Linked DNA regions of Mytilus edulis. The protein of the gene in region 1 interacts with the protein of each later gene in a pairwise test. Links are inferred from orthologs where the notes say so. Each region holds a gene or a part of one and is shown in the gene's direction. Other genes may lie near its edges.

Region 1 (6,297 bases):
AAATCCGTGAATCCTAAAGCAGGATCTGACTTTGTCACAAAAATGTCTTTATTTTTGTACAAAAACTTGTGTAAATCGTTACGCTGAACTTTGTCCAAATTAGATTTTTCAAACAGAAAATTCGCAATAAAATCCGTGATTTCACTGTTAAACGTGTTGTTGTTCTCGGATTGTACAGTAAAATCAAGCCTAACCGGGTAACTTTTACTGTTTACACTATTTGTATCGTTTATCAAATTCACGTTTTGAACGCAATGATCTGTAGTATCGTTGAACGGAAGAAGCGAGTGTTCAGATGTAATTTCGTCAAACATAGCTAATGTTTTTCCTTTATACAAGTCAATACTACAACTGTTTGGATTTAATATTTTAATTGGAATAAGTCTACCTTTTGACACAGAAACGACTCCTTTAGAAATAACCAATCCTCTAGATACAATATATTTACTAGACGTACAAATTCCTTGTTTTCCATAATAAATATTTGACGGAACTTTTCCCCATATAATTGTCTCTGTATGTGGTAAAATCGTTGTCCTTTTTGTACAATATACATTTGATGTTTTTGGAACAGCGGACATTTCACTAAAATCAATCACCATTTTATTCGCAATTAAATAGTTTGTTCCCAAAATAATAGGATGTGATGGCATTTTCAAAATATAAGTAAAAACACGATGATTGGCTCTTGAAATATTCATTTGTACGTAAGCCGTACCAACAACTTCAATCTTTTGACTGTTAGCTAAAACAATGGACTCACGAACATCTGCATTAAAATCTGACTTCTTACTATACGGCAACGAATCATAAAGTTGTTCTGAAATAATGTTCACTGAACTTCCTGTATCAATCAATGCAGAAACTTTCAAAGAATCAAAACGAACAGTTAAATATAAAAATGTAGAGTCCGAAGAAATGAAGGAATCAGTACCAGAATCATTTTCGGATGACGTAATTACATCATTTTCACCAGTATACAATGTCATATTCTCAACACAAAAATCTTTATTTACATTCATACATTTATTTACACGAGATCTAGATCTACTCCGAATTCTTGAAGCACTTATGGACGGTCTCCTAGGGGAGCGTGCTGTGTGGCCCCCAGGAGGAAAGAGTTTCCCTTCTGAAGTTGACCGCATTCTTTTGCCGAATGTCCCGTCTGTCTGCATATTTGGCATTGCATGTTAGTGTCATTGTGTTGAACTGTTTGTCCGAAAATAAAACACTGCAAAGCAACATGTCCATTTTGAGAGCATAATTGGCATATGTTTTGAGGAGAGAGATTTCCCGTACCGTTCCAATTACAATTTCTTTTGAAGTGTCCTGTTGCATTACATTTATAGCAGGGCAAATTTCGACGTGGTGCGCTTGGATATGTGTTGTGAGAAAAATTATTGTTGCCCATAGGTGGTTTTACATTGTAGTCTGTTTGTTTTTGTGTTTTCATATCATTCATGAGATCGGTCAGCTGATTCATTTGAGATCTTAAACTCGAAATTTCGGATTGGCTTGTTGAAATATTTCGTGCGGCGGCAACTGTATTTTCACATTCCCTGTATTTATACGCCTCGCCTGTTTTCGCTAGTGTTAATGCGTCTGATGCATCTTTTGGTTTACTTGCGCGGACATAAAATGCAAGTTTGTCAGGCAACCCATCAACAAATTTTGACATGACTTCGTGTTCAGGTTTGGAAAGCAAGTCCGCTTTTTCTACGAGCTGACAATAAAAATCTTCAATCTCTTGTCCAGGGTTTAATTTCAAACTATTGAATAACTGATTTTCAATAACGACGGATGGATTTTCCCAGTTGAATTTAACATATTTAGCGTTAAAAAGTTCTTTAATTGTTTGCCAGTCTAAACCAGAAGTTAGTCCGTTGTACCATGTTAGCGCGGGGCCCTGAAGATGGAGGTGAAATGCTGCTAGAATTTTGGCATCATCAAGCTCATGGAGAGTGGCAAAGGATTCAAATTCTTTTATAAATTTTGAGCCATTGTCTTTGGGGTATCCGGAAAACTTTTTACAGGAGGCTAATTTGTCCATAATGTTTTTCTTTGGTGGTTTGCTTTTATTGGGTTGATCGTTCAAAGAATTAGGTAAATCATTGAAGGCAGGTATATTTGCGGAATCATGGTTTATCGATGTTGTAAGGTATGTGTTTACAAAAGTATTGTCTAGAATTGTTATATCTCGATACGAAGGGTTTATGTACAAGTCTTCCTCACTGTCACTGTACCTTACTTTATCATCATCCCAATCGTAATACATCGAAATTATAATAATCAGTTCAAAGTCTACCAATGATTTTCCATAGGCTATGTACGCAAGAAAATGCAATACTTCCACGTGTCCGACCGCATGGCCGCCTTCCCACTGGGGTTAATTTCACAGGATCGTGCTTAAATAGATGTTGTTTTGTTATAAGTAATGTGTTTGAATGTTCTTACTAACAACCGGGTTCCTCCACCATTTTATGTTGCAATCTGGCATAAATAATATAACTATTTCAAGATAATAATGTTCTATTTTTCCAAAACACATCTACATGGTATCATAACAATAAATCAAGAGAACAACATAAACTAACATATCATACAAATACGGAATGCAATCCGCATGAATACACCAAAGACTGGTTAAGGAGAGATAACTCTCATAAAAGTATGTTAACTTTACCAAACGACTTGCCATACCAAACTGACATATAACATTATGTGTAGTTCCTGTTTGGAGTGGCAAAAGTTATCTTGTGCTAGATTAAAACAACTTCTAAAGGCAAAGAATTGGTTTTGTAACAATTGCAAATGTTAAATCCTTTTGAAATTCGTAGCAAACAACTTTTTATATTGTCTTTTTTATGATGTGCGTAGTTTTACATAACACCATTGTTATCGTATGGCAGGATATTTAAACCATAGATTTTACACAGATTTGAACATCTACTTTTTAGCTCACCTGACCTGAAAGGTCAAGTGAGCTTTCAGTCTCATCACTTTGCGTCTGTCGTCCGTCTACTGGGCCAAATTTACCAGAACTTTGCCACAATCATCATTATGGTATCTAGAATTTAAATTTAAAAAAATGTGTCAACCAACCAAGATGGCAGCCATGGCTTAAAATAGTTCATAGGGGTAAAATGTAGATTTAGCTTATATCTCTGAAACCAAAGAGTTAAGAGCAAATCTGACGTGGGGTAAAATTGTTTATCAGGTCAAGATCTATCTGCTATATACCTTCACTGCGAAATGGTGCAACTCCCTTGCTTTCTGTTTTCTGATGTTTGATGCATGTCCAGAAACGTTTCATACTACTAATTGGTTGTTTTCCTCCTTAGGTGTTACGATGTTCTCATTGTAGTTCCAATATGAACGACAGAGCTCTCTTTGTACCATTCGATTTGTTTCTTTAAGTTTGGATGTTATTGCAAGATCAGCTGACGTTTTATGTTTTTTGTACAATCTGTCACGGCGTTTTATTAGTTTGCGTACTGATGGTGTGAGCCAAGGCAGGCTGTCTTTTTGTTTTTCGGTTTTGTGCGGGATGTGATTTGCCACACGTACTCTGGTTTAAGTTAATCTTAAAGACTAACCAGAGCTCCTCGGTTGAACTGCAGTTTGCAGCTGGTTCTTTGATCTTTCGATGGTGTTTTCATGCTTTTAATTAATATTATTAAGTTATAAAGCTATAAATTATTTATTTATATGAACATCTTCAATATTTTATTTTTGATTGTACTGTATTTGAATGCTTGATATTGTGATAAAATGATTTTAAATTATTATTAAGCTTTTTTATTCTCTACTAACATGACTAGTCACACCAATGAACAATTTTATTCAGTGCCAGCTAAATAGAAAATTTGCTATTTTGCCGGTGCCGGTCAAATAGCAAATTTGCTATTTAGCCGGTGCCGATCAAATAGCCACTGCCTAAAAATTAAGTACATGGGAAATTGCAAAGTTTACGAAGTCTAGTCTGATTAATCATTTTACAAAAAAAAAAGAATACCTCTACGCCCCCTCTGATTCCGCCACTGCCATGGAAATCTGAAGTATACCCAAATATTTTTCAACGCCCTCTTAATTTCCTCCCACCCCTTTCAGATTATAAATGACCTGTCACTTACGAAACTTCTCATTCTTAATTATAACAAAAGCACCGAAAATCGTTAGTTCAGAGCATTTAATATATATCGGACGACATCATATCTATATTGATGGTTGCCCTCATTACAGGAGTCAATTCATAGAAGAATTACAACACAAATTATTTTCGTTTCATCCCCAGTCCGCATAAACTCCAAAAATACAACCATGTCGAACGTAGTTCGCCGAGCATTTCTTTACAGTATTCGTACATTATATAAACAATCACTAATTAATTTTACGTCAAATTACCCGAGAAATCTTCTAACCACCAGGAATTATACGAAAAAAAATGACGAAGCTGAAACTCCAGGGAAACCGCATTGTAATGTTGGTACAATAGGTCACATTGACCATGGCAAGACAACATTAACAGCAGCTATTACAAAAGTTTTGTCCGATTACGGTAAAGCAAAATTTGTGCAGTTTGAGGATATTGACAAAGCAGAGTTAGAAAGAAAACGTGGTATAACAATAAATACATGTCATGTTGGTTATGAAACCGACCTTCGTCATTATGCACACACTGATTGTCCGGGTCACATTGATTACATTAAGAACATGATTAATGGCACCTCTCAAATGGACGGGGCAATACTTGTCGTTGCTGCATCAGAAGGCACAATGCCACAAACTAGAGAGCATGTGTTATTAGCAAAACAGATAGGAATAAATAAATTAGTAGTTTTCTTGAACAAAATTGACTTGGTTGATGATGAACTTGCAGAGCTCGTTGAACTTGAGGTTAGGGAATTACTTGAAGAATATGGATATGATTCAGAAAATACTCCAGTTGTCAGGGGTTCAGCATTGAAAGCTTTGAAAGGGGATAAATCTGGACATGATTCTATATTAAAACTGATGGAAGCTGTAGATAAATACATTGATATTCCATTTCGTGATTTATCAAAACCATTTATTTTACCAGTTGAACATGTGTTTTCAGCCAGAGGAAGAGGAACAGTAGCAGTTGGGACACTCAGAGATGGAATTATAAAGAAAGGACAGCAAGCTCAAATACTTGGAGAAGGAGTAACACATAAAACAGCGGTATCTGATATTGAAGTTTTCAAAAAATCTGTAACAGAATGCCAAGCGGGAGATAATGTTGGTGTTCTCATGAGAGGTATCAAAAGTAATATTGTAACAAGAGGAATGTTTTTATGTGAACCAAATGCATTTTCTCAGCATGATGCTTTTGAGGCAAAAATTTATGTGCTAACACGTGCTGAAGGAGGACGGACAAAACCGATCACTGACAAGTACATGCAGTTACTGTATACCAATTATTTTACAGTACAATCTTGCATATTAGTACCAGAGGAGACAAAAATGATTATGCCTGGTGAAGTTGTAAATATAACAATGTTGGCTAGAAAGTCCATGGTTTTTGAAGTTGGGACAAGATTTACAGTAAGAGAGCTACAAAGGACAACTGTGACAGGGGTAGTTACAAAGTTGCTGCCAAGAACTGATATAGAAATTATTGGTTTCAATAAGCAAAATATGAAAACAACTTATGTAATTGAAAGTGGAAACCAAACTGTTAGATCGAAACGATTAGCTAGAAAATCAAAGAATTAGTTTTACAAATGTAGTTCAGTTATTAAATGTTTTATCATGCCTATAATTATTGAATCATTGTTTTGAGAAATAAAATTTTGGGTTAATATAAAAGGAGATGTAGCAATGTGTGGTATTATTGCCAAAGAGATATTTATACACCAGAGTTCAAAGCAATTATTGGCAACCAAACTCATTACTGCCTTCAGCAATGAGAAAAACCCATACTATAAAGACATATAAACATGATAAAAGCACATGAAAATTGTGACACAATTCAAACCTTAAAACTAAGGGCCTAATTATATACATTTTTTTAATCTATAACAAAACAATTTTCTAAAAACAAATAGGACAGACATTAACCAACAACAACCAACGAACTACATGCTTCTGACTTGGGACTGTGAGGCACATGATATAAACCTGAATAATGTGGTGGTATTTAACATGTTTGTGAGTGCTTCAACCCGGCCCTCTTACCTCAGACTTTGGTGTAATATAATACAACAAATACCTTTTATCACACTTTTTCATTTATGTTATCAATAAAGTGATATGAACTACATTTTGTACATGTAC
Region 2 (7,365 bases), on another chromosome or scaffold:
ATGTAGTATTTATGATTACATGCATAGCAATTTTTTAATAAAAGGCGAAACAAACAATTTTAGATATCAATTAAAAGACACAAAATACTACTTTGGTTCTTAAATATAAATTGACATTAGTAAATATTTCATAATTGTAATATAACGTGAGTAATACCACGTTTTAGTGAATATTATGTGAATAAAGTCTGTTAATGGGTTGGACAATTGAAATTGTGTCAGTTAAGAGTTATTTAGCCACGAAAATAGTTGTGCTACCTTTATATTTTCCCATTGAAAATGTTTAAAATGAGATGTTCTTGAGTAAAAAAAAATATTGTAAGGGTTCCGCGGAACCCAGTGTCTCGCCTACTTTTGCTGTAAATCGCAGGCTCAACAAAAATGAGGGAAAAAAACAATAAAAAATATTCCTCTTGATACTATCTTATGATTGTAAGAAGCTTCTGTCCAAGTTTAGTAAAAATTTAGGATAGTGAATGAATCTAATAAATGTTTTGAAAACTTTAACTGCAGACTGTATGTAATGTTAACTGGAAGAAAATCTAAGTCCATTTAAAAGTAAAATACAGAATAAATGGAGTTATCTTTTTACAATATTTACTTCTGGATACTATCTTATGATCATAAATAAGCTTCTGTCCAAGTTTGGTACAAACCCAGGATAGTTTAAGAAAGTTAATAATTTTTTAAAAACTTTAACCACAGAGTGAATGTAATGTTTCCCCGCAGAAAAACTAATTCCATTCAAAAGTAAAATACGGAAAAAAATGGATTTACTTCTCGATACTATCTTATGATCATAAACAAACTTCTGTCCATGTTTGGTACAAACTAAGGATAGTTTAAGAAAGTTATTAAAACTTTAAAAACTTTAACCACAGAGTGAATGTAATGTTTCCACGCAGAACAAACTAAGTCCATGATTTATAAGTAAAATACGGAAAAAATGGAATTTTATTTTTACAAAATTTACTTCTGGATACTATCTTAATATGATCATAAACAAGCTTCTGTCCAAGGTTGTTAGAAATCCAGTATAGTTCAAGAAAGTTATTAAAATTTCAAAAACTTTAACCACAGAGTGAATATTTGTGGACGCCGCCGACGACGACACACCGACGACGACGGAATGTAGGATCGCTTAGTCTCGCTTTTTCGACTAAAGTCGAAGGCTCGACAAAAAATAATAATACGATGCAACACTATCCTTCCAGTAAAAGCATTTTTATTTTGACTTTCTTTTCATTTTACTCAAGAGTATGTCACTTCAATATAGCGTGATCTGGGTTGGTCGCTGGAATATGCATGAATTTATTATTAACGATTTCAATCAGCCTTAATTTTTGTGTCTGCTCAAAGTAGCATGTTCTCAAATCCGATTGAACGTGTCTTCCTAATACAACACAGGGTACATATATAACGTGTTGTCGTTTTCATATGCACATGACATTTGTCACTGGACGTTTAGGTGGTACCCAACATTACAGGGAGATAACTCTGTAAAGTCAGTGATACGTTTTATTACGTTGTGTTGTAAAGGGAATAATAAGCTTCTCGAAGATCAAAATTGGTGTTTGTCAAACTGCTATATAACCAGTTTTAAATTTTTCTGACAAAACGGTTGGTTCAAATTTTTTGAAATTTTTATATTTCTGTTAAAGGTTCAAATTAAATACTTTGTCAAAATTTTATTCAAATTAAACGAACCACATTGATTTTAGTAAAAGTGTTCGGTACCACCTTAATCCTAATTCCTCAGCATCATCCAATTGTTTTTCTTTCTTGTATTACTTAATCATCTGTTGTTTACAAATCATTCTAAAGAAATAAATGGAAAGGAGCGAATGCAGCTACATTTGGTTGTATTAAAATTTAATTCATTTTATTCCGTTTAGTTCCTTTTCTACATATGTGCAGAGGAGAACTGCAGGTGTCCACATGTAAACGTCAAGCATTTGTCACCAATATGAGTACATCGCAATCCGTTACTGTTTCAACACCCAGGGGGTTTCATGTCTTTATTCTTAAACAATTTGTTTTCTTCTCTTTTTTAGCAATGCATCACTCTCTACTGTCCTTATCTTTTATTTTGTATTCTGTATCTCCATCCAGATTCTCGTGTATACCATGAGGGTACGGATTGGGGGGTGTTGTTTATTTCTGTATTCTTTAAATGGTTATGTTACTTTTCTCTACATTTTATTTATCTTACCCATTATTCTTCTCTATTCTTTATATTTAGGCATCCCAATATACTGATGTTTAGTTACATTACGACGTTAATCTCTGATTTATATACTGGTTACCAATGTAGATGACACATTGGTGTCATTAATGACAATTAAACAGAATCCACATGATATATGCGACCATTCTCGGATAAAATCAATTTTACTTTAATTTAACACTTTTTGAAACCATTTTTATCAATTTTCAATATCCATTGCCTACATTGTTATTGTTCATGTGTTTTGTTCCGTATATTTTATATTCCATTGCTCATGTTTTGTTTCCGTATATATTTTATGTTCCATTGCTCAAGTGTTGTTTCCGTATATTTTAGCCGCTCGTCTTGAGCCTACCAAATGAACACACCATAAAGTAATAAAATTATACTTTTATTGTCATTCATAACTCTTAACAGACTAATTAACAGACCGGGTTTTATACATCCGACCCATTAACAGACCAGGTTTTTAATAAAGATTGATTTATGTCACCAAAATACAGATTTTCGTGTAGAGTTTTCACAAAATGATATCAATTTGGTTAACACTCATAATGCCTGTCTTTTTTCGATGTTCAAAATAGTGCATGCAAGTAAATTCAACCCAAGTGTCATTTTGTGTACATTTTGTGTGTGTAAAATGTGTATAAATTTACTGATGAGTAATTTGCCTTTTCATTTTATAGATCGTACATAGAAGCTAGAAAAATAATAATTACACCTATGGATTCAGTACATTGAATAGTTTTGTCAGACATAAATATTTTTTATGATAAACATATATTTAAAAGGTTATACAATGAAACATTCTGAGTTTTCAATGATTTTCTCGATAATACCTGATTAACAGCCTTTAGCCAACCCGATTAACAGACCCACTGCCGATATAGCCGCATACTCAATATAGATTAACTGACCAATCTCTCGGTTAGCCGAGTGTCGGCCGTGTATTTATCCTTTCCAAATAACAACATTTATACCTGTGTACGCTTGAACTCACACCTGCGGCTAAATAGCTACAAGGTAAACGAATTGACCTCAAGCCGAGACATATACAGTGACCTTTACAAAATAATATACACACTCTGCTCACACATTAGTTGCATTGAAATGATTATCAAAACAATAACGGTAAATAGAACTGAAATATTTTTAGTTCAATATCAGTAAAAATGTTCAATAAATATTTTATGAAAAAAATCTCAACAATAATTAATTAAATTTATTCAAAAACATTTACTAGAGATAATTTTATAGGAGTTTAATTCAATCAATACAAAACGGTATATATATGCATATTCACTTTCGTTCATTCTTATATTGTGGTTTACAACTTCGACCATTCGTCAGCTGTGCGCTTTTAATTACGTATATTGTCGATAAGCTATAAGAGTTAAACAGATTTTATTTTTTCCCAGAATTCAATAAATCGGGCTAATACGTCACGACCCACTCGAGAATTCAACCAAAAAAGTTACAAATACTTGATTTTCTCCGTTATTAGAAGGAATATAAATTTAAAACTTTGCAAATGTGTTTTTTTATGTTAAGATGAACATAATTAAATGATAAGTAAAAAATCGCGGAATTTCCCTTTAATATTTTGAACCTTGCTGACTGGATTCTATAAATTAAATAGACAATAGACAATAGTCAATATTTTATTCGCACAAACACATTTACATTAAATAGTTATGGCATACAAAATTAAGACAATAAACTGACAATAGTTAAATTGATTATAATTATATTAGAGTGACAGTGGTATTCACAGCGAAGAAGAAAAAGGCTATAAATATCAACAGTTAACACATTGTTAATGTTCATGAACAATTAAGAAAAGAACAAAAACAAAAATTAGGTTGCATCAAGGATTTGTATAGTAAATATACTATACAAATCCATCCTTGGTTGCATATATTAAATTAAAGCAAAACATCTTCATTATAAAATGATAAAGATATGCTGATCTTACATGTCTAGATTTTACTTCTAAGCAATTTTCAACACAATCGTCATGCTAAACCCATGGAATTGACAAGATGTGCGTTTATAGCGAGTATGAAAAGCGTGGATAATATAATGTGGGTTCGGAGCTGTAGCATACCTTTTAGTACTTTCAAATAACTTGCAATAGAATACTCATCTCATCCCCTCATCACTAACGTCCCCAATAGTTGCACGTTCTCTCAAGGTTGTGAAATTTATGTAACCTGCTCTGTATCTGATCAAAACGAAAATATGCATTCTCAAATCATTGTCCTATATTATGATTTGTGATGTTTTTGTCACCAAACGAGTTCCCAAATTAACAGTTTTTCCTATTTTCAGTATTTCATGATTTGTTATGTTGTATTTACAAGTTTACTACCCGGTGTACTAAAACACACTGGTGTTGGGTTGGGGATTGTCCTTGTAAATGTTAAACATTGTAAATACGTTAGTGACACATCTGCATTAATCCCGATAGGGAGTGTAAATGGATTCCACCGTACCTTGGCAGCTCTCTAGGGGTTTTGGATATCGAAGGAATTTACCATTACATACATTAGAGTCTTGAAAGGCTATTGAAATTAAGTTGGAAGTCATCACAGAATAAATTAAAATAGCCTTACATGACCATGATTAGTTCATAATTATTTGGACTAGATTAAACTAAACATGCATGACGATATATAAGGGAATTTGGCGATAAGCATGATTATATGTAGTCCCTCTGTTCAATCTGCTCAGCTCTTAATAAATTGCATATCAAGGCTTTGTAACGTTTAATATATTGACCTGGCCTTAATAAATTTGAACTGGACATCATATCTGCGACTTCAAAATGTTTGAGCAGACATGGATAAGTTTGACCTGAAGCTTCATACTGTGACTCACAGCTGATATTTTACAGTATCAACATGCAAATAACCCAATAAGTTGTTAGTTACTGCATAGTCCAAATAATTATGACGTCTTGAAAGGTAAATTTAGTTTTTAGCTTCAACGTCTTACGAATTTGTCTACAAATTAAATAGCCTTTCAAGACGTCATAATTATTTGGACTAGATGACCGTGATAAGCACATATAGGGTACACAAGACTCACACATCACAAGTACTGGTGGCGAACTTAACCGTATACCATGTATACTATAATAACAAGAACATTTTCATTTTGACTTTTGTGGTTATCTATCCCATGCACATGATGCACATGTCCCATTGAAAATTGTTATGTACTAAACCTTCATTAAATTATCTACAAAATGGTTTATTACACACCTTTTTCTATTATCCAAATCATTCGTAATAGGCCAAAGTCATTCTGTCCCAAGTTGTTTCATTCTAAATAGATCCTACACCCCAAAAAATAATGAATAATTGATACTGTAAATTCAGAAATTATTGCGGGCAATTATTATTGAGATTTTGTCCTTTTAGACTAAAATAAGATTTTTATTTTTGTGATATTTAGAAAAATCCTAATTGATTCAAAGAAAAAAAAATCAAAATGCAAGTTTTAATTATTGCGATGATAATGCTGTCCCATTTTTTGCAATAATAAAAACATCACAATAATTTCTGAATTTACAGTATACATGGTATATGAGAATTAGGCTTATTCTTTACTTTGTGAAACACCAGTAAGAATGCTGTGAATAGCTATAGGTGGAGTGAATTAATAAGATGTGACACATCATGCACATGTTGAGAAAGTCTTTATATTTATATAGTTACAGAATGTTGAAGCATGCTATCAGATGGACAGGATTAATGAGATTTATAGTACTCAGGTTGATAAAGCTTTAATACTTTATATTTATAGTTACAGAATGTTAAAGCATGCTATCAGATGGACAGGATTAATGAGATGTTACAGTACACAAGTAGATAAAGCTGCCCTCAGTAAATTAAGGAAAAAGACAGGAATTGCTTTCATTAACTGCAAGAAAGCTTTAGTGAAGTTTGATAATAATGTTGAACAGGTAATTTTGTCCAGTTTGTATTTAAATGGTACATTGGGTCTTTAACATGTGGACACAGACTTGAGATTTTCCTTGCTACAATGTATGTGTAACTTTACATATATCATCATGATCATGTATATACTGTAAATTCAGAAATTATTGCGTGCATTTATTACTGCGATTTTGTGATTTGAGACTTAAATGCAATTTTAATTTTAACGATTTTGAGAAAAATCTTGTTTAATTCATATAAAATATTTCAAAATGCGAGTTTAAATTAATGCGTTTACAACTCTGTCGCATTTTTTGCAATAATAAAAACCTCGCAATAATTTCTGAATTCACAGTAATATAAAATATTAATATTATTAACAGGATTAATGGTACTCTGAATGCATCACAGGTTGTGGGGAAAAAAGAGAAAAATGGGAGTGCCAATCCCTCTATCATGTCTATGCATCTCTGCACACATCTAATGTCCATCCTGTTCTTTTTAAATGTTAATCAAACTTATAACAATTACTTATGTTATACCAGAGGTTTATATCTGGAATGTCTAGGCCAAGTTTAGAAATCATTGCCATTCAAATGAGAGTTTATATTATTAAAATATATACTGTTTGTAAATAATAATCATATTGTAATTATGTTCTTGCAATTTGTCAAATTTTGATCAAACTTTTATATTTCATTGTTTGTCAGAGGTTTATACATCATATTGTACATGTATTAGTAATGTTTTGGACAAATGTCATGAATGTCAAAATCATTAAAAGAGAAAAGGGTTCTGACTCTGAGTATCAAGTAAAACAAATAAAATTCCCTTTCTTCATATTTTTTCCTCTATTACAAATCTGGTATAAATAAACATGAATATGTTGATATTTAACAGGCAGAGAAATGGTTACAAGAAGAGGCAAAGAAAGAAGGATGGGCAAAAGCAACAAAGTTACAGAACAGGAAAATGGCTCAGGGACTTGTTGGTTTAATTTATGATAAAAGTCATGTGACTATGGTAGAGGTAAGATGTCCACCCTCAGCTCACTGTCTCTGTAGATATAAAATTGAGAATGGGAAAGGGGGATGTGTCAAATAGAGACAACAACCTGTCCAAAGAACAGACAACAGACAACAGTGGAAGGCCACCAATGGGTCTTCAATCCAGCAGGAACTCCTGCACCTGGAG

The links.
Region 2: the proteins of elongation factor Tu-like (region 1) and elongation factor Ts, mitochondrial-like interact in a two-hybrid assay, tested with the Drosophila melanogaster proteins (2 studies listed by BioGRID). The link is inferred for Mytilus edulis from reciprocal best matches to the Drosophila melanogaster genes mEFTu2 and mEFTs.

What each region holds. Positions count from the first base shown.
Region 1 is NW_027268536.1:62,400-68,696, reverse strand, and holds elongation factor Tu-like, read left to right. Parts: upstream 1-4,282; 5' UTR 4,283-4,320; coding exon 4,321-5,736; 3' UTR 5,737-5,782; downstream 5,783-6,297.
Region 2 is NC_092357.1:70,779,422-70,786,786, reverse strand, and holds the start of elongation factor Ts, mitochondrial-like, read left to right. Parts: upstream 1-4,334; 5' UTR 4,335-4,421; intron 4,422-6,037; 5' UTR 6,038-6,044; coding exon 6,045-6,197; intron 6,198-7,071; coding exon 7,072-7,200; intron 7,201-7,365. UniProt on the Drosophila melanogaster protein: Associates with the EF-Tu.GDP complex and induces the exchange of GDP to GTP. It remains bound to the aminoacyl-tRNA.EF-Tu.GTP complex up to the GTP hydrolysis stage on the ribosome.